Oreochromis niloticus: one gene and its partner. The protein of the gene in region 1 interacts with the protein of each later gene in a pairwise test. Links are inferred from orthologs where the notes say so. Each region holds a gene or a part of one and is shown on either strand. Other genes may lie near its edges.

Region 1 (15,637 bases):
GAAGAGTTCTGGTTCTGAGCAGAGCTTGCAAAGTGGTTGTCACACATATTACTTCATCTTCAGGCCCAACCAGTCTCCACATGGTTTACGGTGGAGCAAGAGCAATGAGAAGTACGATCACCTTCCAAACACTCTTACCGAATGATTCTGCACTTGAATACCAAAAAAAAGCTGACTGCGCCAGCCTGTCATTGGATGACTGACTGAGTGGGGGGAGAGACAGAGAGGGGTCTGGCTTTTGTAGGAGAGAGAGTGGTGTCCTATTGGCCAGATATGCAGTGTGAGCGAGTAGAGTTGTGGAGAGAGAGAGCGCCGACTAGCCCGTATCTACAGCTCGTCTCTGGCCTGCTTCATCACAAAGTCGTGCAGGCTCTCCAAATCCCGCCCGCCGTGATGCTCATCACCCTGCTCCCCTGCTCTGAAGATAATCAAGGTGGGGTAACCGCGCACCTGGATAACATGAAAAAAGAATGTCACCAACACTGTCATCACTGGATAACCATGGCTTCACTCAAAGCTGAAAATGTGTGCGCACCAACCACCAAGAGTGTTAAATCTGCTTTAGGGTTTTATTTCATAGTATCTAATTAAAATATGTAGCAGTTGTATAATTTTATGTCTTTGATATAATCCACCACTTTAGTTTTATTGCAACACTGTAACACGCTTAATCCTGCAGAAAAATAAAGCTCACAGAAGGGTACGTGCGCCAGAAACAGTCTCCGAGTGCAAAGCATTCAGCGCGTGGACACAAGGGGAGAATTTCACTTACAGAGTACTTGTTGCAGAGTGTGCGCTCAACAGTGCAGTCCACTTTAGCAATCTTGACATCAGTGAAACCAGGAAATTCCTTCTTGGAAAGATCTTCCCATGTTGGAGCGAGATTCTTACAATGACCACACCTAGACAGCAGGATAACACAAGAGTGACATCACTCTCACTGACTGACAAATTGTGTTTCAAACACTGGCTGCCAACATTTTAAATCAGGAGTTTAAGCACTTTAGTCACTAGAACAATAATTACTTCAAGCATCTGCAGGTACTTAACATATATTTGTTTAAAAATGATACACTCCAACTCATCTTACTCTTAGTTTTAAGCCCTCTCTTGCAGACACAGGCTAAGCATTATTTAATACTTGAATTTCTGAGGCATCATGATTCATTTGACATTAACAACACACAATAAAGAAAGGTGTTAAAGAATAATCTCACCATGGAGCGTAGAATTTGACGAAGGTGAATCCTTTGGCTACAGTCTCCTCAAAGTTGTCCTCATTCAGGACCAAAACACTGGACTACAGACAGAAAGAGGACAGGAATACAAGTTGGAATTATATGGATCCGTGTTTTTCCTCACCATGAGGACATTATTGCATTATTATATTTATTATACTGCTACTGGAGTGAGAGTTTATGAACTATGTGCACAGATTATGTTCCCCAGTAATGCCCACATCATCTCATTAATAAAATGATATGCAAAATTCTGGCATAATTTAGCTGCCAGTCTCTCACCTAATTAGAATCTGAATGGGTGCCAGGTTTAAAGACCTACAGTGTAACTACTACATGTACATGTGTTGAGTAGTTTCACTGCAACAGGAAATAACTGCTGCTCATGTGCTGCAGATTCTCAGTAATGGTATCCAGAAGTAGCGCACTACGTGTGTACTGTAATGTAAAAATACACAATTCAAGTCCTCTAAGAATCACAATAACTTTACAGCCAGGACCCCACTGAATGCATCAACGATCACTGCAATGTGCAGCTGCTGTGTATCTAAGGTCTCTGAGCACCAGCTCAACGGGGCACACAAACGCCCCCACTTAAAAATACAAAACAGGAAATACAAAAGAGGACACCAAAATATTATCAGAGCACAACACCTCTCTGTTGTGAACACCCACCTTTGCTTCCTCTTCAGCTGGCTCTTCAGCAGGGATCTCATTTGCTTTTGGTTCGTCCTTCTGCTCCTCCTGCTTTTCCTCCTCGGTGAGTGCAGCCTTCAGCTGGTTGTCCAAAAAGTCTTTGAAGGAGTCCAGGTCTCTTTTTCCTTTGTACTGTTCTGTCTACGAAAAGAGGACAAGAAACAAGAGTTACTGTAACCAGTGGAACAATATTTTGAATATTTCTTGGATGTACGCATCAAATCTGTTACTTTTCTTCCTATGACCTCTGAACCGAATGAGTTCCCCTCAACAGAACACTGTTATTAAGAAAAGCAGGAAGTTTTTTTTAAGCCACCTATCAAAGGCATATATACTCTGAGACCATTCTGATGGACTGATTATACTCCGACTTGGAATTTTAATGCCACAAATGAAACACATTAACCGTTTTCACTGTGATAACATTGGTGGGTTTTTACTTGCCTTCAGATTTGTCTCTGTAACTATTTAAGCAGCTTAGCATGAATCATCATCATCACACCGAAATGATTTTAGCATATGTATGTTTGCATGTTCCACGTCTCCTAAACGAGTGGAATGAATGAAGCTTAAACAATGCCTACGACACCGACTCCCAACATCTGTCTCGCGTGTACAACTATTTTATACAAATTCCACAAACGTTTTGCATACCTTTTCTCCATTGTAGAAGAAGAGCAGTGTGGGATATCCCCTCACACCATTCTCAGAACACACCTCGTAGTGCTGAGTACAGTCCACCTAGTTCACAAATACACAAACTTGTGTTATTAAACAGAAATGTTGCAACACTGCAAACACTGGCTCTGTGAGCTGTTTTTATAACACAGTAAGTAAATAGTTAGCTCCTCATATGATCAACATCCTGGTCTGTCACACAGGATCCTGACAGGAATCATTTAAGAGTAAATAATGTTTGCCACAAGGAGAGCTGGGACTAATTCAAGAAGGTTAACTTTCATTGTAGTGAGTGTCTATCTGTTCTGTTGTTTTAACATCTGAACCCACCTTTCCTATCTTCACATCGTCAGAGTGCTCAAAGGTGGTGGCCAGCTGTTCCCACGTTGGGGCCATGGCTTTGCAGTGACCACACCAAGGTGCAAAGAACTTGATAAAGTGGGCGCCTGAGGCAGGAAGAAAAGAAAGAAAGGGAGAACATGAAAAGCCTTGCAGCATTTGCACACCAGCTTTTAGTGAATTTATACATTTGCACAAAACTAACAAAGCGAGACTGAAGTTTATTGGTCCAGAAAATGAACGTAAGAAAGCTGATTTCACTGCAAACTCAACACAACCTGCTGTAAATGGATATACACCTCTTACAGCTCACATGAACCAATTAAGCAACGTTTATTGCAGCCCTGTTGCCAAGATGTGAAGGTGGGGACCTATAAACATCGTTTTAAAAATACCTATGTCATATCCTGCCGATTTTCATCTCCAAACAAGAAATCATTTACTTTTTTTCCTTCAAAACCAAAACATTCAACTTCAGTGGAGCTCAAGAGCCGTAATTTCAGCGAGACAATTATCGTGAGCGGCGTTTATTTTTGCAGTTGTTGCCTCAAAGTCCAGAAACGTGAGGCGACGGGAGACGAGGGTTTTTACAGTCGGCTGGCTTTGACTGACGCTCGGGTACTCGGGTGGTGAAATGTCAGTTATGTAAATCTAGTTAATGAGGTGTTTCCATTCTCCAATGTGAGATCCAGAAACTCGGTGTGGCTGAAAACTGAAAGCAGATTCAAAAATGACGGCAACACAGAAACGGCTTATCTGTTACAGCAGGATGCAGCTGCGTAAAAACGCAAAGTCGCTTGGCTAATTACGTTGCCTAACTGAAGCTTTACACAGCATCTCTTTTAATGCATCTTTACCTTTGGCTATGTGGGTCTTGAAGTTGAGGGCGGTGAGCTCATACATTCCCTGTTTGGGCTCTGGGGCTTTAGGAGGCTCCAGTTCACTCTCTGGTTCCTGCAAAACATTCAGCAACAAAAAGCATGAGCATCAGTCTTGCACTGGTTTGAGGATGTGAGGTTATGACTGAACGAACACCAAACCACTAACCGAAGGCTCCTCTTGGAGCGTCTTCAGCATCCAGGTCTCCAGAGACTGCAGATCTCTGGGGCCCTGGTACTTCACTGCTTCCTGATCAGGCTTAAACAACTTAAGCCTGCACATAAGACAATATATTCAACTCCATGAGACGCGGCATGGCAGATTTATAATTTCAAATCTACAGCTGGATGAGAGAGTTAAAGTCAATCTTAGCTATAACTTTAACCATAAAAACAGGTATTCTGTCAATGATTATGGAGTAAACTGCTGCATTTGCAGTTACGGTATGCATGGTGCAACATCCAAGTTTCAGCCATTAAGATAATGGCAGAATATTCGACCAAATGCATGTCAATGTGTCACTCCTCTGTCAATCAGTGATGAAAAAGACTGTTTACTTCCATGATCTAAGAGGAGTTTAAGCCTAAATGCTTCAGCTGCTGCGTTATGCTCTGTTGTGTTTCTGGAAAACTGACAAATATATATATATATACACGGAGCAATCGGACATCAATAAGTGAAGCTGATGAGGTGTGAGTGTAGTACTTACGTAGGGTAGCCTCTAACGCCGTGGTCATTGGAGCAAAATTTAGTGTCCTGGACACAGTCTACTTTTACCACATACACCGGGGGGTCATCCATGCTGTTGTATTTCTCTGCCAGCTCGTTCCACGTTGGCTGTAGCCTCTGGCAATGGCCGCACCTTGACATGAGAGAGGCAAACATGGGGGATTTAATGCATTATGGAAAGCTGAGAGTTTATATTTTCATAACAGTGTATGTGAACACTGTATTCTGGATGCAGACACAGGCACACTGCTTCAGTATTTTCTGCTTCCTGTTATTTGACAATAAAACCAACACATACCCTCTCCATTAATGAAAAGGTTAAACAATCACGTGTAAAAAAAACAAAAACAAAAGAACCCCTCACATAATCTCATAATCTCTGTCTTTAGCGTCAGCTCCCTGTTTACATTATGCGGTGCATGGTGACCAAATTAAACTGCATAACAATAATGGCATTATGAATTCTTGTTATCCGCAAAGGACCTCTAGGGGGACCGTGAACCTCAGTTTTGCAACAACTCTTATAACATCAGTCAATCAGTGCGTGCCACGTAAGCGCAGCCCTGTAAGAACAACTTTGAACTGTGGCTGAATAACTCCTGCTCTGTAAATAAAAGCTGTTTAACTGTTTGAGTACAGCCTTCAACTGCAAACCTTCATATTGAATGTTGGCAGCTAGCGAAGTGTTAGCATAAACGACAGCGAGGACCACGTAAAAGAAGAAAATGCGTCTCATTTCGCTCAGCTGCACTTGGCTATTTTGGCTTTGCTAGTTAGCAGCTAAGCTAACATCACTCAATGAGCGAAAGGAATGAGCTAGTGCTAACTAGCCTGCGTGCTAACTAGCTTGCTTGCTAATTTGCCGGTTTGCTCCAATCCAGTATCAGAAACGCTTTTGTGTTTTCAGTAGTAATTAGAATATTAAACACATAGACAATGTACTTTTGGGAAAATTGCTGAAGCCCGTGTGAAAAAAAAAAAGAAAAACTTAGCGAGCGTTTACTTACCATGGAGCGTAAAACATGACAAAGTGGGGTGCAGTGGGCACCGCCTCGTTAAACATATCCACCGTGTACGTGTGCTTGGCATGCTCATCTTCTTCTGCTTCAAGGTCGCATAACACACCAGCAAGCAGTAACGACAAGTGAATAAAACGCAACAAAACGGGTGTGCGGTGCAGCGATGAAGCCATGGTGAATCTCGGCAGCTGAACGGTGTCCCTGCTGGTGTGAAAGGACCGACTTTCTGCGAGCACGCCCCTCTGGCAGCCTCTGACTCAAAGAATGCCAGACCTGGATGGGATGCTCCAAGATGGAGCTTACCACAGCTGCATATGGGCATCTAATCACGGTGTTGTGTAGATCTGTGGCGGCCCGCTAGCGCTTTGCAACTCTATCAGATGTGGCAGGTTCAAACAAGTGCCACTTTACAAAGAAGTGTGAAAGCCTGTGAGGTATTACTGACTCCAGGGGGATGATATGTATATTATAATAAAAGGTGTGCAAATATAATAATATATATAACAATAAATATAATAAGAGTTCACTATTGCCATAGAAATATATATTGAGCAGCAGTTCTCTGGGTAAAAATGCCTTGTTCATGCCAGAGATATCAGCTTTGAGCAACAGTAACTCAAATAACTGCTCAACCAAAGAATGCAGAAGAGCATTTCAAAGGAATGACATGTTGAACCTTGAAGCAGATGAGCTACAGCAGCAGAAGACCACACTGGGTGTCTCTCCTGTCAGCTAAGAACAGGAAACAGATTACAGTTCACACAGGCTCACCAAAGCTGGACAATAGAAGACTGGAAAATGCTGCCTGGTCTGATCACTCTCGATTTCTGCTGTAACATTTGGATGATGGGGTCAGAATTTGGTGTAAACAACATAGATCCTCTTACCTTGTATCAACGATTGGGGCTATTTTTGGTTTGGATCCATGGATCAAAGCATCTGAGGAATGTTTTCAGCGCTTGGATGAATCTGTACCATGAACAACTAAGGCAAAAGAGGCTCCAGTACTAGCAGGGTATACCTAATAAGAGTATCCAGAGAGTGTAGCTTCATTAAATTCCCATATTTTTTTTTTAAATTTTGGATCAACATATGCAGCACTTTATGGACTTCACTAACACTTCGACAGTAAATTTAAGATGATGAATGTGAAGTTAAATTTTTAAATGTTAAAGGAAAGTTGAAGTCATGTAGAAAAATCAAATTAGAGAGATTCAGGAGAGTTTGTTCCGCCTCTGCTGGTGTAAGGAAAAGCCAAATTGGTCTATTATAAATGGTCCAGTAAGTTCGGGTTGACTGCTCCACCTTGGCCGGCAGCAGAAGTTTCCTTCACACCTGAGGCTCTCTTTATTGAAAAGACAGGCTGCTCTATTAATGCCCAGGGGTGTAAATCTAGAAGACATCCATGAAAAAATGAAATATTGTGAAAACAGACCACATTTAAAGTTAATATTTTTGCTTTTGCTGTTAAAAAAAATGCATCTCCGGTGTCAAATCGCTGCTGGTTCAGATGGCAGACAGACTGTTGGTGTTCTGCACCGATGGTCAGATATGAGTCAGAGTTGCCTCCTCCTCATCACTGGAAATGATGTTTTAAAGTGAGAACATTTTAAGCAAACATAATTAATCCAATTTTTTACACTGGTTAAATAGCTCGTCCCGTGGGGGCTACAGCCTTGCGTAATGGCCACAGTGGATATAAATCATGCATATATTCCCACGGTGGAGGCTGCTTGCGTGTGTCTGTTCCCAGAGTAGAAAGTACCTGCTGGCTCTGTGAACTGACAGCTCTTTGGAAAGTCCTCCCATCTTTTATTATAGTCATGATTTCATGAAACCAAATGGAGACAACCTTCATATTAACAGTATTTCTCTTTAATCACCCCCACCCCACCACACCCCCAACCTTTCATCTGGACAACAGTTAAAATGGAAAAAGGAACAAAGAGGTTACAGCATGGAAACAGACAGAGATGTCGCCTGCGTGACAGAGCTCTTTCAGATGGTCTACTATGGTGAAAATGATCCTGCCATGCACAGCTGAACTTAGATATAAGTTCAGGCTGAGGTGTTTATGAAGTGCTCTGTATGAGTGTGTGTGACAGTACTTTAAAATCAGCCAGTGGCAGGAGATTTTCCTGTAATTTCCCAAGACAATGATTGAACTTCCAGCTTTTAAACACCCATAACACGCCAACACACACACACACACACACACACACACACACACACACACACACACACACACACACACACACACACAGGATTATTCTGTCCACGGGGAGTACATCCACTGAAAGGAGAAGCCACATACTTGTAGCCGACTTCGTTGCCCAGGAGGATTTGTACGCTGACCTCAAGACAGACATGAGGTGATCTTTCACCTCTGGCCGTAAAAAATATACTAGGCTATCTCTTTGAAGACGTGCAGGAGATATCTTACCTTAGAAAGAGAAAACAGATAAATTCAAAGTCAGCAGTCTGCCGACAGCTGCATCCTTTTTGAGAGGAGACCACTGCAGGTTTGCTCTTACATGACCTGAAAGCTCCGGGGCTCAAAAACACAGATAACTGCAGTTCCTCTGTTGCCCACTTGGGCTGGTTCCAAAAGCAAGTCTCTGTAGACTCCCACATTAAAATGCACAACAGCAGCAGAACTAACCTATATCTATATAACAAATGTTTCCCTGGAATAAAAACAGTTTTGATTTTTCCTGTTGCCTTCTATCACACCCTGTATATATTGGCAGTGATTGAAATGCAGCAGGAGTACTGGGAGCAGTGTTTTACCTCCCAAGGACACAACCTTGAAGGGGATAGGAAATGCATGTTGTTATCTTTTTATAGGAAAAACTTTTTGATTGCACCTTTTTAGTTGGCAGCAATATAGGCGAGATGCAGGTTCATAAAATGCATCAAGGTCGCAGTTTGTTTCCTCTTCTGGGGGCTTTACGTGCTTTTCACTTGCTATAACTCGCTGTGTAGTTAGGCTTAGGTAGCAAAAACTGCTGGGTTAGCAAAATATTGTGGGTTGGGTTTAAATCTATCCCTTCACTGTAAAAGTATCCCCTGCATTTACTTGTCATGGCAAGGGATGTCTTTCCATAGACATGAGTATCAATCTTCTCTCTGAACTTCTGGCATAAGAGCAAATAGGCAAATTACACTAAATGTCAAACTGTTTATTAAAAGAAAGACGCTCTGCAGCCTCGTGTGCTACTGATTGGGCGCACACAGCGAGCTGCCATCCTAAACTCTTTCATGTCACATCAGTGGTTTCCTGTTAGTGTCTTATGATTGCTCCGATCATATTCCTTCTGTGAGTTAGTCTGCTGTACTAACACCAAGGTGTTGGCAGAATGAGAACTCCCACCCACTAAAGTTTATTTGAGCTGTTTTATCAAAATATGGCCTTGACCCACAGCTCTCGCTTGCTCTTGCTTACGTCCCAGCTGTTGCTCACTCAGTGAAACGCAAAGGCCTCTACGGTTAATTTAAAGTAAAAAATGATATATGAGGTTATTTTCCTTGACATGTACACATGATAAATAACCTCTATGTGCAGGTTGGACTCTCCCAAAGGGGCTTCTATTGTTACCAGGGCAAGCCAGCAACCACACATCACTATTTAATCTCAACATGTCATATAGCCGTGGTAAATATGACCAAATTAGCGCCGACATATTTTACATTTATCCCGCTGTAGTGGAGGCCACATACTTGCGGGTGTCTGCTGGTTACCCATTGTTGATTGCTAGGCACCTTGCCAGGCCAGTCATAGCGTGGTGTAATGGGAAAAAGAAAGATGAATAGACTCAGGGGACCCAAGGACACTCTGTTTATTCTCTTAATTTGCCTGAAGTTGGTGGCTGAGAGTGAAAGAGTCAGCAGGTGGTGAACGGGGTGAAAAGTGACCGAAAGAAGCTGCATGTGTGAACTTAAAATTGTTTATGCTACAGTTAAGTTTTGTCCCAGCCCCAAAGTTCAACGAGTGAGAAAGAACTCAAGGCAGAGGACTTGAGACTTTTCTACACCAAAGGAAAATCAGTTTTTAAATACAGGCTGGTCAGGCACAGGCCTTAGAGAGGACACCAGATTCTTTTCCTGTCATAATCGCAGTCTTCGTCTCAGGCTTGCTTGTACATAAAAGTCAGTATGGGGAAATGATGATCAATATATCCTATAAACTGCAAACACACTACTGGTCCTGATTTCTAACCACCTTTAACCTTCAGAACTGCCTTAATTCTTTGCACAGATTCAAAATAGTGCTGAAAACATCCCAAAATGAATCTGTTGGATTGAGATTGAATGACTCCATTTGAGTAGAGTGAACTCACTGTGATGTTCAAGAAAGCAGTTTGAGATGATTTGAGCTTGACCCTTCAGTAAATGAGTACACTGTAGTCACAAAGGGATGGACATGGTCAGCGACAATACTCATGCAGGCTGTGGTGTTTAAATGAAGCTCAGTTGGTACCAAGAGGCCCAAAGTGGGCCAAGAAAAAAAAAATCCCTCACACTGTTACACCACTAGCAGCCTGAACTGCTGATACAAGGCATGATGGATCCATGCCTTCATGTGGTTTATACTACATTTTGACTCTACCGTCCAAATGTTACAGCAGAAATGGAGATTTATCAGACCAGACAACGTTTTCCATACCTGTTCTTAGCTGACAGGAGGGGCATCAAGTGTAGTCTTCTGCTGCTGTAGCCCATCTACTTTAATGTTTAATGTGTCGTGCATTCAGAGACGCTCTTCTGCATACCTTGTTGTTGGAGTTTCTTTTTCCTGCCTATTGGTATGAGGCCGTCTCGCCATTCTCCTCTGACATCAACAAGGCATTGTCATCCAGAGGACTGCTGGTCACTGGATATTTTCTCTTTTTTTCAGGGCATTCTCTGTAAACTCTAGAGGTGATTGTGCAGGAACATCCCAGCAGATCAGCAGTTTCTGAAACGCTCAGAGCACCCGTCTGGCACCAACAACCATGCCACATTCAAAGTCACTTAAATCACCTTTCTTCCTCATAATGCCCAGTGTGAACTTCACAGGTATTCTTGACCATGTTTACGTGCCTCGATGCAGTGGGGTACTGCCATGTGATTGGCCAACTTGACATTTGTGTTAACGAGCAGTTGAATCCAGTGATGTGGTCGGCGAGTGTCTACTGTCTTTCTGTTCCAAACTGGGGTCTGCTTTTCACCAGTGCCAAGGGAAACACTGAGAAACCCTTTAAGAAGACCTTCTGGAACATTTCAGAGTCTATTTCTGACCAAATCTAATTCTGTCATATAAACATATGGGAATTACCTCTCTGGACACTCACTCTTTCTGTAAAAATGCTTAAAGCATTGTCTTCCCACTACTGAACCTGATGCAATCCAAAGCCAGAAGTGTTTCCATTAGGAAGACCGAGACTCATGGCCGTATTATATCCGGGAAACAGGATGTTACCAACAGAGGGGAACCAATGTCATTTGCAGACAGCTCATGCTTAAACCCATGCCGCACGCACCTGTGCTGGAAAAGAAAACAGTTGGGAAAGGGCTTTCCCACATGATTGGAGGACTTCCAGTAAAAAATAAAAAAAAGATTAAAGTGTGGAAATCAGAAAGCACCTTGACTTTTCATCTGGGAGGCTGAAAAGGGGGCGAGGAGGACATAAGAGAAGGTCAGAGGTGAACAAAAGAAAGAGAGCAAAGACAATGGAAATAAAGAAATCGGATAAAAGGATAGAGGAGGCTGAGAGGCTGTGGTGGTTGTGGATTGCCATGACAACGCCCTCTCTATCCAAAGTGTTTTTATGTTCTGCTGCTCTCTGCTGGATCCAGGCAGATGACTAAAGGCGTGCCAGGCCTCATGAGGAGTCTACAGCCTGGAAATACTATCATGTGCCTGTGACCTTACAGGGCTAGCTGTTTTCTCTCTTTTGGAAACTCCACACAGAAGCTGTGCACAGGTTGGATACTGACTGCAAATCACTGCTGCTTTCCAAAAAAAAGAAACAATCACAGGGCAAAACTAACCAAAATCAAGAAGAGCCAAAAATGTCACTGCTAAAATGTCTTTGCTAAGACTTTGTTTTTGTTTTGTTTTGATCGACAAAAGGATTTTTCAAGCAAATCTCATTAAAATGAATCTACATAAAAATGGCCACATGAAGTTTGAATTAATATAAGTAATAGCAATAAAACAATACACAGGAGCTCATTTCACCTTAACAATAGCATGACGTGGAGCTGCACAGCTATCACAAAATGATATGATGACAGGTCTCTCTAAAAATGAGATTTTTAATCTCAATGAGATTTTTACCTGGATAAATAAAGGAGTAATATAGAATCAAACCAAAAAATTCATTCATTGAGAAAGCTCAAGAACACAGAGTGGACTACTGTAAGCATTGTCTTATGACCCGTTTTATCCAAAGCTTCAGACTGGTTCAGACCACCTGAACATCTAACTGTTAACTATGACATCATAAGTAGTCTGATTAATCATATTTATTATGGCTCAGAATAGAGACACTGCATGTCTTTGTCCTCTCTTCCTCCCCTCACAGCAGATGGCCGCCCCTCCTTGAGAGTCTAGTTCTGCTAGAGGTTTCTTCCTGTTAAAAGAGAGTTTTTCCTTCCCACTGTCACCAAAGCTCTTGCTCATAGGGGTTCATATGATTGTTGGGGTTTTCTTTGTTTTCTTTGTATTAATGTAGGGTCTTTACCTTAAAATAACTCCTTGAAGCAACTGTTGTTATGATTTGGCAATATATAAATAAAACGGAATTGAATTGAATCTTTCCTCAAGTACATCCATTGAAAATTTGTCAGGACTTGTCCTTTTGTAGTCTTCTAAATATGAATTTTATATTAGAAAAAGGATGGAAATCTAACTCTGGATACCTCATTGTAAAATCTGAATCTCTGCATGTGTGCACTGCACAGACACATGACCAGCATTCTTACTTTTTGTCAGATTTTGTCATTAAAATACTTCAAAATCACCTGCCCCGTAAACATGATCAGTCCCTACGCAGTCATAAAGGGAGGAGGTAGACAGAGTAAACCTAACAAAAACTCTGCGTTTCCAGTTCCATGTAAACGTTGTTAATTGTGCCCACAGTGATCGCAGTACAGTTGTAGTTTGGACTGTCGCTTTTTCCTAGCTTGGATTAATTTGAAAAAGTGTCTGAACTGATGAAAGAACCTACACAGCTCTGCACTTTGATGAATATTTATACCTGTCACATGAGGTGAGACATCGCAGGTGATGACGGGACCAAGCCCGACTAGGAGGCTGCCTTTTACAGACACTTCTTGGTTCACAGCCTTTCTGTAAAGGCCCCACTTCCTTCTGGTAAAGCCATCAGGATATACTGACCAGGGAGTGAGGGAGTTGAGGTGCAGCAGAGAAAAAAAGAAACAGAAGAGAGGAAGGAATATGAGAGAAGAGGAGAAAAGAGAATTGGGATTTATGGACATCCTAGACATCTTAGCGGTTCAGTTAGTCAGTCAGTGTGACCAACGATGCTTCCGGAAACCCGTTTTTGCGTGTTTTATGTCCAGTTAATCAATAATTCTCATTATCAAAATAATATTTTAGCATAAACAAAAACATACACATACATCCAAAGTGTCCTTGAGCAAGATACTGAATTACTACCAGCTCCATATGTGCTTTGTGGCTGGACCAAGTGTTTGAAGCAGAAAATGGAGCTTCCTTTGAAGGATCAGAAGAAAGCGACATATGATTTGATTCCAAGAGAAGAAAAGTGGTTGTTGTTACATGTGTGGTGTACGTAGGTATCAATGACAACTTACAAATCAAGAAGCTGCCAGGAAGGCTTAAAGTTACAGGGAAAGTAGACTGATACTTCAGCAGACAGTATTTCATATGAGACGAGCCATAAATGTCATCAATAACCAGAGAGGCTACAGTTTGCCTCAGCAAAAGCCGTATATAAAGACTGTCTGTGGTTTTATTCTCTTTGGACATGCTGCAAGACACTTTAAGAGCTCCCCTCCTTCATTGCATCAAGGTTTGTTTTTATTTTTCCCCACTTTAAAAAAAAATTACAGATGCTGTCACCCACTTACTTGTACTACTGCTTGCTCTCATGGAAAATGTAAAAGGGGCCCAGCCTTTGAGGTCAGGCTGTCATTGCCAGTGAGAGGTGGCCAAGTCACAAAACAGATGTTTACTGTTTTTCTAGAGATGATTTGTTCTCTGCTCAGTGTTGACTCAGGTCCAGCTATAACCTCGGTCACCTTAATAGAGTGCTGAGTTAGAGTGGGAAGACGGGGTCACAATGGCTGAACCAGGTGATGATGTTACACTGTAAACGTGGGGCTGTATGCCCATAAACTCCATGGGAACTTTATGGAAGTTATGATTCTGACAGGTGAGCGGATTTGTCCATAATTCAAGTAAATGTGCAATAAAAATGATCGGATGAATCGCACGTAGGAAAGTTGTGTCTGCGCGCTCCTGGATGTGTCACCCTGCATAAGCAGTGAGTATGAATGACTTTTAGGAAGCCTTGGTGTATTTCTGCGTGTGTGTCAGCGCAGCGTGTGCCTTGATGCGTCTGCAGAGGCAGTCATGGACCGGGTAAAGGTCCCTCCACAGAAGCCATTAAGCAGTGCGTCTGCTGGAATAATGTGTTTGACTTGGCTGTAGCAAAGCAGCAGGTGCTGGGAGGACCGGCTTGGAGCTCCTGCTCCCCTTCCTGCTTTGATCTACAGGCCAGGGACCAGTCTTCCCTTCTTGGTGACTTTCCCTTCCATCTTTTCTTTGTCTTCCTGTTTCTTCCCCTTTGTTCCTCCCTCTTCTGTGCCATTCTTGTTATCTCTGCCCTTGTTTGCTTTGTCTCTGTTGTAGGGATTAAATGTTGCTCTTTAACCTTTATGTTTTCTTTCTCTAAGCCAGGTTTCTAGTTGCTAACAATTACATTTTTCAGATTTAGTAGGCAGAGCTTTCAACAGATGGTTGGTGCAACTGTCTCACCTTTAAAAGAAGTCGAGTTACATTAAAAAAAGGCTTTTTTTGTTCTTGATTGAAGTGACATGAGAAGTGTGATCTTGTGTCTCTTGTTTTATCTCTACATTATAAAAATTAAGCTATGGCCAGCAGGCAGTTACCAGCAACTCTAAACAACCACATATATGCAAGTGACTTCCTGGCGACTTTTACAAGTGCCAGGACACTTTGCATTGTAACTTTATGGTTGCTAAGGAAACCTAGATGTGCTACTTTTAGACCATAGATTGTAAAAGATGGACGTAGCTACTATGATGCCACACATTTGTTTTGGAGCCTTGAGTTTGGCATTCTGGTAAACATATGTGGAGTGTAAATTGCTATTAGCAGAATTATTATTGACAATTATTAATTAGCTTTGTTAGCTTATAGTCAACGAGTGGATCCTGTCAAATCCTTAATTTTTGTCCACATATAATGTGATTTGCTCCTTTCACATCTCTTTTTATCTGACAACTGGTCACTAGTGGACATTCCACGCCCCAGTGATGTAGGTAACCCTCTAAAGTATTTAAGTATTTAAGTATTATACATCAGCCAGAAGGAGTGGTGTCCCATCACAAGAACAAGCAAGGCAAGCAGTGCCTCCCCAGCTACACCTAAACATAGACATGAACGTGGTCGCTCTTCTTTCATCTCAAACAGTGTTTTGTTGTAAAGTTTCTTGCTTGTTTCACATCTAGTCTTTACTTTACTGCTAACAGAAGATGTTTTTGTGTGTCTGTGCCCTATTAGACTATATGGGTACACCACAGCTACCTGCTAATACATGCTAAGTGACATACAAATAAAAGCTGTGGCCTACCAGGCTGTTATAGGTGAAATGTGGAAAATAAGCTAGAGACAGAAAAAACAGTTTTGGGTTTATTTGTTTTTTCGGTTTTTGTAATCTGGTTCCTTTTTCAGCCATAAATATGAAGCTAACAACTTGCAAATTTTAGCTTCAAATTTAATGTGAAGATGAAAAATAACTATCTGCAAGGAAGCATTTTTCTTTTATATCACACTTAATGTCC
Region 2 (15,957 bases), on another chromosome or scaffold:
TTGTTTCCAGCAAGCAGCAGAAATAAACAAATTTACAGGCTGGTAACAACTGTAAGGACAGTCATTTTTATATATTTAAATATAATTCAACCATTAAGATTTCGCCAAGGCTTAAAATTGGGGTGTGGCATGGATTAAACAGTGTGCTTACACTGGTCTCATCTCTTTCCTAGTCTTCACCTCTGCTGGACCCAGCTCACAACTTCACACTTTTGTGTAAGTAAATATTCAACTTCCAAAAAACAAAACAAAAACAAAAACTTGGCAAGCCTCCACAAGCAAACAGTGGTGGCATTGTCCATCTTTGATATACAGTCTATTGTTTACAACTATGTAGGAGCACCTTCAGTTCCATTTACTTATAACCAGTGCTGTTTGTCCTTTTTGGTCTTCAGTAGAAACACTAGTTATAAATCCTGTATTACATTTCTGCTAAAGGAGCATCAGAAATCCTACACACTGGACCTTTAACTGTGACCAATACTGCATTATGTTTCACAATAAGTCAGATCAGAATCTGAGCATTAGTCATGACATCAACCTGTAGCCGTGGTTTGATTGTTCTTTTCAGGAAGTGTAAATGCATAGTAAATCTAACCAGCAGTGTTCATATATTCACACACCCACTTCCCCCTTCCCTACCAGTATACTGATCTTTGCTCCCTCCACCAAGCAGCCCCCTCTCTCGACTTTTCTCATATTTACCAACATGAGAGTTTGACCTGTCAGTACTTTAAGAAACCTTCCTTGACACACGTCACCTTTTCTGACAAATGCAGCCAAGCAGGGCTAAAAAAAAGTCCAAATTAATGTATAAAAAGAAAGACAAAGAAGACTTTTGTTCTTCCTCCTCCTGCTTCCATTCAACTGCCTGAATGTCCCTCCCTCTTCTCTGGCACAGTTTGGGTCTTCCTCATAGTCTTCATATAAAAGGCGCTGGGATTTTTCCTCCACCTGACGCTACATGATGATTCGCGGCTCCGGGACTGACTCGTTGATGGATTTGTGAGGCAGGACGTTGGCACCGTTCAGGTAAAGCTCGTCATTGACGATCACGTCCTCCCCCAGCACCGTCACATTCTCCATACGCACCTGAGGACGCACATTAAGACACAAGTCATCCACCATCGCACGTGACAAATCTTGGTACATTCGCTGTCCGAGATGAAACAGAGGATTTAACTAGAGAGCGGAAAGAGTACGGCTTCCACAGCCTTCAGCCTCCTTCTGTTCTCCTACTGCTCCTTTGGCGTTAGCTATTATAAGTTATGTGAAAAGGGTAGATATAATAGTGAACTGTGAAGTTGGCCAAAAATCCCATTTGGTTATTACTTTAAGACAAAAAACCCAAAAACAAAACAAACAAACAAAAGTTTGAGCAACTCCAATAAATTATATCCATGAGCGGGTAAGCAGATACAACAAGCTCTAAAAAGAAACAAATAAAATAAACTAGGCTAAGTTATAGAGTACAAATATCACCACAAGTGATATCTGCAGTTAAACAGACAGAGACACAATCAGCTGCGTCTCACAATAAATGAATGAATCAAGAACGTCCACACATTTTTCCCACTCACCCACTGGCCGACTGACGAGCTCCACCCCACGATGCAGCTCTCCAGCCACGAGTGCGATCGAACCCTTGACCCTTTCAGCACCGTGCACCGCTTTATCCTCACCCCGTCCTCCACGACAACGCCGGCGCCGATGGTGACATTCGGGCCGATGGTGCAGTTCTCCCCGATCTGTGCCGTGGGATCCTTGACGGAAGAAGAAAAGGGGATGATCATTATCATGAAGTACAAGCCTTTATTTTGATGTCACATTAACAAAGTGCACTCACCACCAAGACGTTGCCGAGGAAACCGGGGCCTGTGCGTAATCTCTCAGGTGCGTGTTGTCGTACTGACTGGAGGTACATACACATCCCTGTCAGGAAGTCTTTAGGCTGGCCGATGTCCATCCAGAAACCTGCAGACAGACGGACAGAGGGTGGAAGCTGAAAGCTTGAAAACAACCAGGCGGCTCCTTGTGATCTTTAACAGGTGACTCACTGAATAATGAGGTCACAGAAGAGGCAGACATTTATCTGCTGACTGCAAACTCTACCATATATTTTACATAACTGCCAGCAGAGTTTTCAGCATTTCTTCTCATAGCTGCACAAATCATTCATCTATCTCAACCAAATATCCAGCTAAGTGTTGTGGGGGGGGCAGGATCAAGAGAGGAGAGGCGGAGTACACCGGGGCAAACAGGTACCCTCACATCTAATCCTACGGCCACCAAAATCACCAGTTATAACCTAACAAGTATGACCGCAGACTATGAATTTCAGGAGCAAACAAACACACAGAAATCAACCAGAAGGTTTGAACCCAGCGCCTATCAGTGCTAACCACTGCAACATGGTGTCACCCCCTTACCGTTAAGCTGTGGGGGGAAAAGTGGAAACCAGGACAGACATAGATACAGATTTAAACTGAAAACTGAAAATGCAGTGCAGTGGGTTAAAAAAGCCACATTTTCACTGGAAAGAATGATGGATTTTCTACAGATCTCCGTTTAAAAAAAAAAAAAGAGGGAGAAAAATCACCATCAATTCATAATTCAATAAATACCAATCCTGAAAAAGCATTAATCCAAAAACCTGAATAAAACCACACAAGAAAGAAAGCATGACCAGTATGAACAACATTAATCAGGGTTTTTATGAGCACCAGCATCATAAATAAACATCAGGGTTTCTGGTTTCTGATTAACGTAAAGATTTAAACTGAATTTATCTAATTTTATTCAAGCATAAACTAGCCAAAGATCAGTTATTAAAATGTAATGGATTTATTTAGCCTTTTACGCCCAAGACAAAACAGAATTTAGGTCACTTGTACAAATTCCTACTCCTCTAAGAAAGTTTAAAGAACAAATCAAGCCCATCTTTTTTTTATTTATCCTTTGATTCTTAAGTTAAGTAAATGCTTCGCTGCTAATCTCGAGGACCTTGTTTTACTACTTAAACATGATGAATCACATCATCTTCTAAAGGGGAACAAACCCACTACTGACTGGGACCAGTAAGCCTGCCTGGACTACAGGTCAGGATGGGGTGGGGGTTTGACTACGTGGTTCCGCTGTTTCAGCAAAGCCAAAGGATCTCAGAGAGGAATGAGGATGTAGAGAAGCACCAACAAGTGATTCCTCCTGCTGGTGAGCTCTTATGTTTTTTGTTGTTTTCTTTTTAAACATCTGTATCAGAACTTTAGAGAACCTTTAGGTCTGAGCATAAAGATTAGGTTAGTGGTGCTTTTCTGCAAACGTTTCCTCTCCAGACCTGCACGAAAAGCCCAAACACTTACGTCTGGTGGAGCTGTGAGCTGCAGAGACCAGATCAAGCACACAGGTCAGCTTCAAACCATACATTTCCATCCTACTGATCCTACTGCTGTGTTAAGAAAAAGGTGAGGTCACCACTGTATACTTTTATGAACTGACTTGCATCATTTTGATGAATACGATCTTCTCCACGGGCCCCTATTTTGGGCAAAAGCTGAATGTTCAGATCTCACATGCAGCTTTACAGTCCTGTGCTGTAGTAGAAGCTACTTTCGGCTGCTTCCCTGCCACCAGCGGTCGCCACAGTGGGCAGCTCTGCATGTCTGATTTGGCAGATTTTCTTTAAACGCAGGATGCCCTTTCTGACGCAACCCCAAAGAGGATTTGTGTCTCCGGCTGGAATCAAACCAGTCACTATATGACCACTACGCCACTGGAGGAGAAGAGTCCTGTGCTGTAGTACTGCAGTCTTAATATTAGTATTAGTTACCTTGCAGCTCCATGGCATACAGCTGTCCCTCCCCTGCCATGACAGGAAATATTTCTTTTTCAATGGATGTTGGTCTCAGCTGCAAAAAGAATGCATAAAAAAGTCATGAACATGGTCCAAAAAATAAACAAAACTATAGTGTCTTCAAGACTCAGTGTTTCCCACAGATTCCCACATAATCAGGTGCCTCTCCAGTGAGTCTCATCCTGCTGGTAGACTCCACCGTGTTGAAGACGAGCTGGTGGCTGTAGCGTAGTCTGCTCTTCAACCTCAGAGAAGCAGCACACAAACCTGTTGTAGGTTTGGCTTAGAGTGACCCAGGGTCTCGCAGGAGATATTCAGAGCAGGAGGACTGCAATCACTAGCTACAGTCTAAGATAGTGAAGTCTGAGTACATCAGAATGTAGGACGAGCTCTGATCAAGAAGCTGAATGATATCAGTGACTGCCACAATGACAGGCTGAACAGTGACCCAGATGGCATTCTTCACTCTGATCAAAACTAAAAGGCTGGAAGCACTGGTGGTAGCTCCTTTTCAGCTTTCAGTCTTCAATAATACCAGATACTAACAGTGTGGCCCACCCAGGTAAAGTCCGTCTGTGGGAAACACTGAGTCTGTTACTAAATAACACACTAACATCGACACTATGAGTGAGTGCGAGAGCCTCCTCACCTGGATCCTGCTGAGCATGCTGGGATTGAAGATGTACATGCCGGCATTAATTTTGTTGGAGACAAAGACCTGTGGTTTCTCCACAAAGCGATGGATCCTCCCGCTGTCCGCCTCATACACCACCACACCGTACTTAGAGGGCTCTTCCACCCGTGTTACCTTCATGCACGCACAGACACACACACACACACACACACACAGAGTATGACCCCACAGTAGTCAGCTTCCCCTAAACCACCTAAAACATATAAAAACCTGTCAATATGCAGCAGCTAAGCATAGGAAATACTTGGACAGTCTCTCTTACCACAATGGTTCCCTCCTTGCCGTGGTTGCGGTGGTACTGCAGCAGATCTTTGAACGGAAAATCACAGATGACGTCTGAGTTGAGAACAAAGAACGGCTCACCGTCATCGTTCAGCAAGTCTCGAGCCAACGCCAGGGGACCCGCTGTGCACAAACACACAGTTTTATATGGTTCACATTAATTTACTATGGTTTTTAAAAGATGAGTTAATCAATGTTGAATCACTGGATACTTGCAGAGAGCCATTTACTGGATCTGTCTGTCGTAAAGACAAAACTCACCTGTTCCCAGAGGCTCCTTCTCATGAGACAGAGAGATACGAATCCCGAGCTGAGAAGAAAACAAAAAACAGTCAGGTTCAACTTTAATGTTTGGGCTCAGTTAGAAACCACACCACATCACACACGAATCCAAATGAATGTCTCCGGAATTTATTTCCTAACATGTGACCAGAGATACAGAAATCCCACAAGTCCAACAACCGAGTCTTTGAGGTCCTGATCAAGCACAACAAAGATCACCTAGTGTGAAATCACGCTGATTAAAGATGTTCCCTTCAGGTTACAAGCCACAGATGAGACACGCAACTAATCACAATCTATCTAAAGATTTCTTGTTTCTGTTTTTTTCCACTTATAGTCCAGAGATTATACTGACCAATCACATATGATCAAATTTCTCCACACAGGTAAACAGTCCATAGAAAAATTAAAACTGCAGGCTTGCACTGCCTGAAAAGCAATCTCAGAATAATTAGCCATCCTTTGAGGATGACTTAGTTTCTAAATTCAGACCAATTGATTGGAAATCTTGAACCTAAAACCTGTTACCGACTTTCTGAATATCCTGGATAAACTAGAACCAGAAAAATAAGAAGCAGAGACGCCGATAGTTTCTTGAAAAGGGAACCAAACATACTCGACAGTGACTGTTGTGCACAATTATACCTCAGTAAATGAAATCCTGATTAATAAAACTGGTTATCTATCATATATCACTCCATGCAGGAGAAACCTGGTGGTGTTTGCTGTAACAGTGCAGGTTGTTGTACGTACTCTCTGCTCCTGCACTCTCATCTCTCTCTCCAGCAGCTCTGACATATAGCTCACTGCCAGAACCACATGGTCCACCCCAGCCTGAAAACACACAGAGACAGTGATTCATGACTACAACACAAAATAACCTCTCAGTAGCATCATTAGATCCTTATTGATATCTTTGCCTTACTTTCACCAGCGCCTCCACCTGGTGCAGCAGGATGGGTTTGTTGCAGAACTCCACGAGGGGTTTTGGGACGCTCAGGGTGAGCGGTCGCAGTCGGGTCCCGTACCCTCCCACCAGGATCAAAGCCTTCATGATTCTGCCGTTACCAACAGTTACCCAGGTTCATCAATAACCAGATGCTGATGCCCTGCAAAGATGAGATTCACATTCATCATTAAAATCAGACATTTTCTAAAGGAAGAACAGAAAAAAATCTGTCATGCTTGTTTCTGTGTTGGATTTAAAATTAAAAGTGACTTTCAAATACAGTCACTTTTTTACTTTGAAGACGACAATCAGAGAAAAATTTATTATAACCTCTAGGACAGATCATGATCTTATTATTTTACTATAAACTTTTTCTCCCAGTATTTGATATTTTCAAACAGCACATGTCAATATTTTGCTTGTGGCAAAGATCCCTTAGTATTTGTTCTCTGGATTTACTTGAAAAACAGGTTCTTCCCATGAAATTGATGACATTTGTGTGACTTACAGTACACGAACAAACATACTATGGAGTGAAATTTCAAAAAAAAACTTTGCAGACGGGTGCAAAACAGATGGACAGCAAAGCATTTACATTTTTCATATCAGTGAATATCAGATAAAATAGACACAAATGCCAATATACAAACAGGCAAATATTGGCAAAAAAACAATGTGATACCACTAATATAAATCTGGGGCTATACTTAATACAGAGCTTTACAAAATCCATGATCATTTTCTAACCTTGAGCAGGTAGTTTTAAAGATAATGCCTAATGTATTTTAAAGTAATAATGTATTAAAATAATACATCATTACTAAAATAAATCACGTGTAAGACTTGAACTGTGGTCAGATCAGAGACTATTTCCTGATCCATTGTGTTGTTTACTTTGGTTTGTCGTATTTTTATTGAGCCATTTTACTACACTCAATTCTATTCCGGGTGGAAAGGTGAATTGTATTAAAAGAAGAAAATGGATGATTAAATTCCACTTTGTTTTATTTATATTCTTAGTTACTAAACTTCTGTACTGTTATTTTAACGTGTTTAACTTAGGTCAGGGTTTTCCTGATTCAAAATGGACCTTTGAGAGTGACTATATATGTAAACATGTCTGGTCCACTTACAGTTAAAGCAAAGAATCTGTGTTACAGAAGTCTGTGCATTTTCCTGATATCTACTGGCCTTGAAGAAAGTAAATGTCTTTTTACAAAGTTGTACACTTGAGTAAATAATACAATAAAATCACAGTGATGGTGATTTTGTTATTGTTTTTACTGCATTTACACATTTGGATGCAGTAATTCAGGCATTTGCCACCTTTTTGGCTGCATTAATTCAGGCATTTGCCACCTTTTTGGCTGCATTAAATTCAACTTAATTATTAATTATTAGGTGATAAAGATCAAGATGCTCAGACTTCCATTGGAGTGAGTATCAGAGGGAGAGCTCAGGCAGTAGTGGTTTGGAGACAAAGTTAGCGATGCAAGAGGCGGGATAGTGAATAAACTGGACAAAGGATGTTAAATATGGAGCTTCCAGGCAGATAGAAAAGAACAAGAGCACAGAGAACATTTAAGGCTGTAGTGACGACATTTAGATGGTTGGTGTGACAGCAGATCGCTGTGGCAAACTCTAAAGGAAGCATCCGGAAGAAAAAGAAGAGGAAGAACAAGAAGAACAAGAAAAGGTCATGGTGTCGCCTCAGATCAACAGATTTCATTCATTCATTCTATCAGGCGGTCTGGAACATGTGATAGGGTGATATTTACGTTCCTGAATAGTGTCGAAAAACAAACCAAAGAACCAACCAACACAAACAGGTGACAAAACGAGGATACACATGGGAATAAACACAGATTAAAACAGGTACTACTAAAACAACCTGTTAAGAGTATTGCGTTTTATACAGATTACATCAGCACTTTACCTTAAATGAATTCACTTTTAAGGGAAACAGTGAGATAAAATGTGACTCTGATCATGTTTTGGTTTGTACTGAACTTACAGTGCCTCTAAATAGCTAACGTCAGCTGACAGAGCTGACTTTATTTATCTACAGTAAATGAACTCAAATCGACAGGTAGCTGGTTACTATTCAGGTTTTACAGTCTGCGAACAGCGTGAGAGTAAATGAAAACGATGAAAACTCACCTGGGTTTTTTTCATTAATAGTCTTCAGCAGGTCTCAATCACTGACACTCTGGGAATGACACGTAAGATCGCTAAAACGCCGAATCCTTGTTTGGCTTCCGGTGCAAGAGCCGGCCAATCAACTCTTTCGACGTCAACATACCTTATCTGGTGAAGCGTTTCAGAATAAGAGTCATTTTAAAAACGGGCTTTGTGCAGCATTTCTATCCACAGACTAATATTTGGACAAGGTTTCTTGGTCTTAAAGTTAAATGAGAATAGTGGAATAAAAATAAATAAATAAAATGAAATGAAAATCGATAAATCCTGTGCTTACAGACTTTTTGAAAAATGTATGCAACTAATGGGCTAGTTCCAGAAAAACTTGTTGAACCCAGTTTAATTTTACTGGACAAAAAAACAAGAGCAAGGAATATTTTTTTTGATTAATTAAACAAATGTAACAAGTATAACAAATATGGCAATATTGTCAAAGACTTTTTCCAACTTGAGATAATACCACGACAGGCTCTCTTACAAAATATAAAAGACAGATAATGAAAATAAAATAAACATAAGCAACTAAAGAAATAAATGAAATTAATAAAAATTAAAATGAAAATTAAAAGTCATAAAATAAAATTATAACCTTGGGGTTTTCTAAAAGCTTTAGTTCATTAACCATATGATGCAGATCCACAGTTTGTTTTTTGACCATAAACTTTACAGATGAGAGGAAGAGGCAGAGTTCTTTGTGAAAGGTGAAAAAGGACAGCTTTATTTTCAGAAATCGACATTTATGAATGAAGAATTTACCCATAACAATTATCACATACAGTGGGCACGGAAAGTATTCAGACTCCTTAATTTTTACACTCTTTGTTATATTGCAGCCATTTGCTAAAATTATTTAAGTTCATTTTTTCCTCATTAATGTACACACAGCACCCCATATTGACAGAAAAAACACAGAATTGTTGACATTTTTGCAGATTTATTAAAAAAGAAAAACTGAAATATCACATGGTCCCAAGTATTCAGACCCTTCGCTCAGTATTTAGTAGAAGCACCCTTTTGAGCTAATACAGCTGTGAGTCTTTTTGGGAAAGATGCAACAAGTTTTTCACACCTGGATTTGGGAATCCTCTGCCATTCCTCGTTGCGGATTCTCTCCAGTTCTGTCAGGTTGGATGGCAAACGTTGGTGGACAATGGTGTTTTAGGTCTCTCCAGAGATGCTCAATTGGGTTTAAGTCAGGGTTCTGGGTGGGCCATTCAACAACAGTCACGGAGTTGTTGTGAAGCCACTCCTTTGTTATTTTAGCTGTGTGCTTAGGGTCATTGTCTTGTTGGAAAGTAAACCTAACCCAGTCTGAGGCCCTGAGTACTCGGGAGAAGGTTTTCGTTCAGGATATCCCTGTACTTGGCCACATTCATCTTTCCCTTGATTGCAACCAGTCATTCTGTCCCTGCAGCTGAAAAACACCCCCACAGCATGATGCTGCCACCACCATGCTTCACTGTTGGGACTGTATTGGACAGGTGATGAGCAGTGCCTCGTTTTCTCCACACATACCACTTAGAATTAAGGCCAAAAAGTTCTATCTTGGTCTCATCAGACCAGAGAATCTTATTTCTCACCATCTTGGAGTCCTTGAGGTGTTTTTTAGCAAACTCCATGTGGGCTTTCATGTGTCTTGCACTGAGGAGAGGCTTCCGTCGGGCCACTCTGCCATACAGCAGTGATGGTTGACTTTCTACAACTTTCTCCCATCTCTCGACTGCATCTCTGGAGCTCAGCCACAGTGATATTTGGGTTCTTCTTTACCTCTCTCACCAAGGTTCTTCTCCCCCGATAGCTCAGTTTGGCCGGACAGCCAGCTCTAGGGAGTGTTCTGGTCATCCCAAACATCTTCCATTTAAGGACTATGGAGGCCACTGTGCTCTTAGGAACCTTAAGTGTAGCAGAAATTTTTTTGTAACTTTGGCCAGATCTGTGCCTTGCCATAATTCTGTCTCTGAGCTCTTCAGGCAGTTCCTTTGACCACATGATTCTCATTTGCTCTGACATGCATTGTGAGCTGTAAGGTCTTATAGACAGGTATGTGCCTTTCCTAATCAAGTCCAATCAGTATAATCACACATAGCTGGACTCAAATGAAGGTGTAGAACCATCTCAAGGATGATCAGAAGAAATGAACAGCACCTGAGTTAAATATATGAGTGTCAAAGCAAAGGGTCTGAATACTTAGGACCATGTGATATTTCAGTTTTTGTCAACAATCTGTGTTTTTCTGTCAATATGGGGTGCTGTGTGTACATTAATGAAGAAAAAAATGAACTTAAATGATTAAATGATTTGAATGATTAAATGGCTGCAATATAACTAAGAGTGAAAAATTTAAGGGGGTCTGAATACTTTCCATACCCACTGTATAAGACATTTTTAAGTTTCTTTTCTTTTCTTAGAGATCCAAATAATATCATAATTTTAGAAAATTCAAGGAAGTTTGGAATCTTTGGGAAAACCCAGTAGTGCACATCGTCCCACAGGGCTTTACAGTATATACATTCGTAAAATAAATGTTCTGTCAATTCAATATTCCCATGACAGAAAGAACAAATGTTATCATCAATAGCAAAACGATGTCTGAGAAATTCTTTGGAAGGGTAAACACCTGAGAGGATTTTGTAATGGACCTCCTTAGCTTTTGGAGGAATGGGAAGTTTTATGTACTTTGTTCTGATTTCTTTCTTTTGATCGCAGAAAAACAGTTGTGAAATGGAATTTGGATTTGATCTATATGGGAAAAAAGCATTAGTGAATAATTCACTTATTTTAGAGTTTTTTAGACTGCTAGCTGTAATGTTGTGCCCATTTACTAAAAGTCCAGGGAGGCCAGGGGATCTAGTCAGGGTTTTGAAACAGATTATGTGCTGTACAAAGAATGTTTTGAGGGATAACCTTAATAATTTTTTGAAACTCTTTGTTGCTTATTTGCAAGTTATAACTGGCCCTGAAATCTTCAAACAAAATATTACCTTTATCATTTAATAAATGCATCACTGACCAGTTGCCTTTTTTGTACCATTTTTGCACAAAGAGCGATTTGTTTCTAACTTTTATGTAAGGGCAGTTCCAAGAGCAAGGAATATGAGTTAAGTGTGTTTATCAATGTGAAGAAATATTTCTCTTTTTTTTTAAGTAAAAAAAATCTTGGTGGTAACAAAGCTATGGTTTGGTTCCAGTGTAACTTTTTTTTCCTTTTGTTGACTTTATTTCAGTCTTAGGGTTTTTTGGTTTCAGATTGTATCTTTCCATGTCAAATTGCCTTTTCATTACTAAAATCAAGTTGCTCTAAATACTTAGGGCAGGTCCTCTCTGCCTCGGAGACGTTATGGTTTTTATTCTAAAGGCCAAATGTTTCAGTTTCCGGTTTGACTGCCTGAAGTCTGTCGAACTCGAAGGTCATCTCTAACTGCCTTGATAAACTCAGGGGTGTTCAACTCTAACAGAGTCTAAGCCGCACACTTGAAAGCTTCCTAAATAATATTTTTAAAAAGTGAATGTATATTTATATAGTTTTATTGTTGCCGTAAAATAGGTCAAAACGTCACGGTTGTCAAAATATATTATGTATTTCAGAGAAAGGATAATGGTATGTCCCACACACTGATCCCGCCTCTTCTCCAAGTCTGATCAATCAGAGAAAAACAGCGTGGCGAGGATAGGTCCTTAAAACTCCGAGCCCTCGTAAGGAAACGAGATTCGGTCAGAACCAGAAGGTTATTGCAGTTTTAATACAACAAACATACCGTTTCTCCACATGAGAAAATGTGTAGCCCTCCAGGTGAAGGAAAGAATGGTGATGATGTTGTAAGAGAGGATTCTGCACTACTAAACAAGAAAGCAGGAGAAAGTCCAACTAAAGCAAAAAATAATGAAGTCGCTGATTACACTTAGTGGATTCTTATTTCCACAACAGTAAATAGTGACCGTTTATAAGTCTAATAATAAAGAGGTTGAAGGTGTTTCTGCGGCAGATAACACTGCAGCATCATGCATTGTTTAACTGTATAAAAAGTGAACCATATGAGGACAATTCTGACATGAGTAATGAAACGTGTGGTTGGTGATTTGTTTAATGGGAATGTCTGTATGTCTTGTGAGCAGGTCCAAAGGAAATATGGAATACATCAAAAGGATTTTTTTTTGCATTTTTACAGGCTCGTCAGTTCATTACTTCAAATTTTGATGCTTTGCACAATACAATGCAACTAGGACCCAATGCATTTTTTTACATTTAAATTCAGATAAAAGTACTATAAGACAGTTCTATAATACATTACAAGGCCATAACAAACATAATATTAGAAAACATATCAGGAGTTGGGAGGGAGACCTCCAGTGTCATTGTGATGATTATGCCTGGAGTGAGTGCATACCATCTGCACATTCTTTATTTCTTAATAACAGATTTAAAGAAATACAATATAAAATTTTACACAGACAGTATAGAACGCCTACTTTTCTGAATAAAATTGATCCGAGTAGGTCATCACAATGTACTAAATGTAAATCTGAGGTGGGGACCTACTTGCATTGTCTTTGGACTTGTTCAAAAATGTCAAAATTCTTGTTCTGTGTAACAAACGAATTAAAGGGTATATTTAAATGCAGAGTACAAAAAGATCCAGCTCAGTATTTATTGGCTCTGCCAACTCTGAACAAATTTCCCGATAAAAACAAATATAAACTATATGAAAATTATTGTTCTTGGCAAGAAAATGTATTCTTTTCAATTGGATCAATGAAAAACCACCAACAATAACTCAACTGGTATACTGTACACTGGTATAAAGAAATCTTCAGAGTCTAACCAATAGAAAGACTGAGTGCAAAATTGAAAGGTAATGATGATATCTTTATGGATATATGGCGCCCTCTAATGGAATACTTACCTGATGATCTGAGGGAAACTATGGGGGAGAGGGGCAGGCCCACTTTAATGGCAGGTTGGGTTTGTCAGGTCAAATGTGTAAACGGCTGGTAGACACAATTATTTACCATATTGTTTTTGTTTTTCTTTTACTTGGCTCAGACTGCTTAGTGTGTTGTTGTTTGGGGTTTTTGTTTTTTGTTTTTTTTAATGTCAAAAAATCCAGATAAAGAGATAAAGGGGAAAAAAGAAATAAGTGTAAGGACACATTAAGTATATTAAGTATATTAAGCCATTCATAGTTTATCTGATAATAAAGCTTGTGGGTTGGATCACATCACTGCAGAACATTTAAAACATGCTAGGTTAAGGCTAGCTCCTCTTCTAGCACTCTGCTAGGGTTTATGATTCATGGGATACTACCAGACTCAATGCTGTGTATTTTACTTGTACCAGTTATGAAGAATGAAGCTGCAAAAGTGAGCTGTCTGGATAATTATAGGCGGATTGCACTAGCCAGTATTTTATCTAAGGTGCTAGAAAGAATCTTGATTGACAGAGTTAGTGTGTTCATCTATTCCCTGGATAATCGGTTTGGCTTCTGACCAAAGCACATCACTGACATGTGCATATATGCACTCAAAGAAATAGTCAGGGCAAAAAAATTCATCTGTCCTTATGTATTTCATTGATGCCTCTAAAGCTTTTGATCGAGTAAACGACAGAAAACGTTTTGATAAATTGAAGCGGCGGGGAGTTCCTGGATACATTGTGAGGATTCTCTCTTACTGGCACGCTCATCAGAAGATGTAGTTTAAATGGGGAAGCAGTATTTCTGCCCCCTTTGGTGTTAGCAATAGTGTCAGACAGGGTGGGGTTTTATCTCCAATTTTATTTAATTTATATGTTGATGATTTGTCCATACAGCTGAGAGACTGTAACACTGGGTGTATATTAGGTAAAACATTGATAAATCATCTCATGTATGCAGTTGACCTGGTTGTTTTTAGTCCAAGCAGTGCTGCGTTACTGTCTGTACTGAGTGTGGTGTGCAATATGATTACACCGCGTTCCAAATTATTATGCAAATTGTGTTTAAGTGTCATAAAGATTAAATAAGTTGTTTTTCAATTAAACCCATTGATGGAATTGTGTCTCAGGACTCTTTGTATCACTGAAATCAATCTCGGAAACCTATGATCATTAGTTTGCCAGGTGAACCCAATTAAAGGAAAAACTACTAAAGAAGGATGTTCCACATTATTAAGCAGACCACCATTTTCAAGCAATATAGGAAGGAAAAATGATCTTTCTGCTGCTGAAAAGCGTGAAATAGTTGAATGCCTTGGACACATAATGAAAACCTTAGATATTTCATGAAAATTTAAGCGTGATCACCATAATGTTAAGAGATTTGTGGCTGAGTCAGAGCACACATAGGTTCGTGCAGATAAAGGCACAATGATGAAGGTTTCTGCCAGACAAATACATCAGATTAAGACAGCAGCTGCTAAAAGGCCATTACAAAGTAGCAAACACATATTTGAAGCTGCTGGTGCCTCTGGAGCACTGCGAACATCAAGGTGTAGGATCCTCCAGAGACTTGCAGTTGTGCATAAACCTTATATTTGGCCAACCCTAACCAATGCTCACAAGCAGAAATGGCTGCAGTGGGCCCAGAACTACATGAAGACTAATTTTCAAACAGTCTTGGTCACTGATGAGTGCAGTGCAACCCTGGATGGTCCAGATGGATGCAGTCATGGATGGTTGATGGACAGCCGCCATGTCGCAACAAGGCTGCATCGTCAAGAAGGAGGTGGTGGAGCCGGAATCACGGGGAGAGAGCTGGTCGGCCCCTTTAGGCTCCTTGAAGGTGTGAAAATGACCTCTGCAAAGTATGTGGAGTTTCTGACTGACCACTTTCTTCCATGGTAGAAAGAGAAGAACTGTGCCTTCTGCAACACAACCATCTTCATGCAAGACAATGCACCATCTCATGCTACAAGGAATACCTCTGCATCATTGGCTGCTATCGGCGTAAAAGGAGAGGAACTCATGGAGTGGCCCCCATTCTTCCCTGATTTCAATCCTATTGAGAACCTTTGGAGCATCCTCAAGCAAAAAATTATGAGGGTGGGAGACAGTTCACATCCAAACAGCAGCTCTGGGAGGCTGTTCTGACATCCTGCAAAGACATTCAAGTAGAAACTTTCCAAAAACTCACAAGTTCCATGGATGCAAGAATTGTAAAACTGCTATCAAATAAGTGGTCCTATGTTAATATGTAACTTGACCTGTTAAGATGTTTTTGATTGAAATAGCTTTTGATGTCAGTGAAATTGATCTACTAATGCTGCAAATTCAACAAATGACCACTTTCAATTCTCTACAACCTATAAAATCTTTTGAAACTCTGTGTGCATAATAATTTGGAACAGTGCATTTTAAGTTTTTTATTGCTGTGCCGCGATCCCAGCCAGCATCGATGAGTTGGAGGCCCCCGGGAGAATCGGTGGGGGCACGGGAGATGTCGTTGGTGAGTCAGGAACTATCGCCTGGATGTCGAAGCTCCTAGCCAAGAGAATGCGATCTGCTTCTTCTGCGAGTGAAAGGTAATCCTTCACGGCCAGCAGCAGGGAGTTGGCGGGGCCAGCTCACATCCATTCCTAGCAAGGACAGCGTGCTCTCCATGAGCTCGGGAGTGGCCCGAGAGAGAGAGGAGTTATTCGGCCCGCTCTGCGTGGGAGAGGGAGTAGCACCACAGCAGCAGCGCCTTGAGAGCGGTGTGACTGTGTGACGACTGCATGGCTCTAGTGGCA

Evidence for each region.
Region 2: the proteins of txndc5 (region 1) and gmppb interact in a two-hybrid assay, tested with the Homo sapiens proteins (2 studies listed by BioGRID and IntAct). The two-hybrid records come from large-scale screens. The link is inferred for Oreochromis niloticus from reciprocal best matches to the Homo sapiens genes TXNDC5 and GMPPB.

Annotation. Positions count from the first base shown.
Region 1 is NC_031974.2:23,869,177-23,884,813, reverse strand, and holds the start of txndc5 (thioredoxin domain-containing protein 5), read right to left. Parts: upstream 5,866-15,637; 5' UTR 5,752-5,865; coding exon 5,567-5,751; intron 4,693-5,566; coding exon 4,540-4,692; intron 4,105-4,539; coding exon 3,999-4,104; intron 3,906-3,998; coding exon 3,809-3,905; intron 3,059-3,808; coding exon 2,943-3,058; intron 2,676-2,942; coding exon 2,589-2,675; intron 2,076-2,588; coding exon 1,914-2,075; intron 1,301-1,913; coding exon 1,218-1,300; intron 903-1,217; coding exon 773-902; intron 451-772; coding exon 328-450; 3' UTR 1-327. UniProt on the Homo sapiens protein: Protein disulfide isomerase of the endoplasmic reticulum lumen involved in the formation of disulfide bonds in proteins. Can reduce insulin disulfide bonds.
Region 2 is NC_031970.2:16,045,905-16,061,861, reverse strand, and holds the start of gmppb (mannose-1-phosphate guanylyltransferase catalytic subunit beta), read right to left. Parts: upstream 8,358-15,957; 5' UTR 8,218-8,357; intron 6,218-8,217; 5' UTR 6,163-6,217; coding exon 6,034-6,162; intron 5,943-6,033; coding exon 5,862-5,942; intron 5,137-5,861; coding exon 5,088-5,136; intron 4,950-5,087; coding exon 4,807-4,949; intron 4,659-4,806; coding exon 4,500-4,658; intron 3,906-4,499; coding exon 3,827-3,905; intron 1,975-3,826; coding exon 1,847-1,974; intron 1,764-1,846; coding exon 1,581-1,763; intron 1,093-1,580; coding exon 961-1,092; 3' UTR 1-960. Other genes in the region: lymphocyte antigen 75, read left to right, coding at 15,698-15,750. UniProt on the Homo sapiens protein: Catalytic subunit of the GMPPA-GMPPB mannose-1-phosphate guanylyltransferase complex. Catalyzes the formation of GDP-mannose, an essential precursor of glycan moieties of glycoproteins and glycolipids. Can catalyze the reverse reaction in vitro.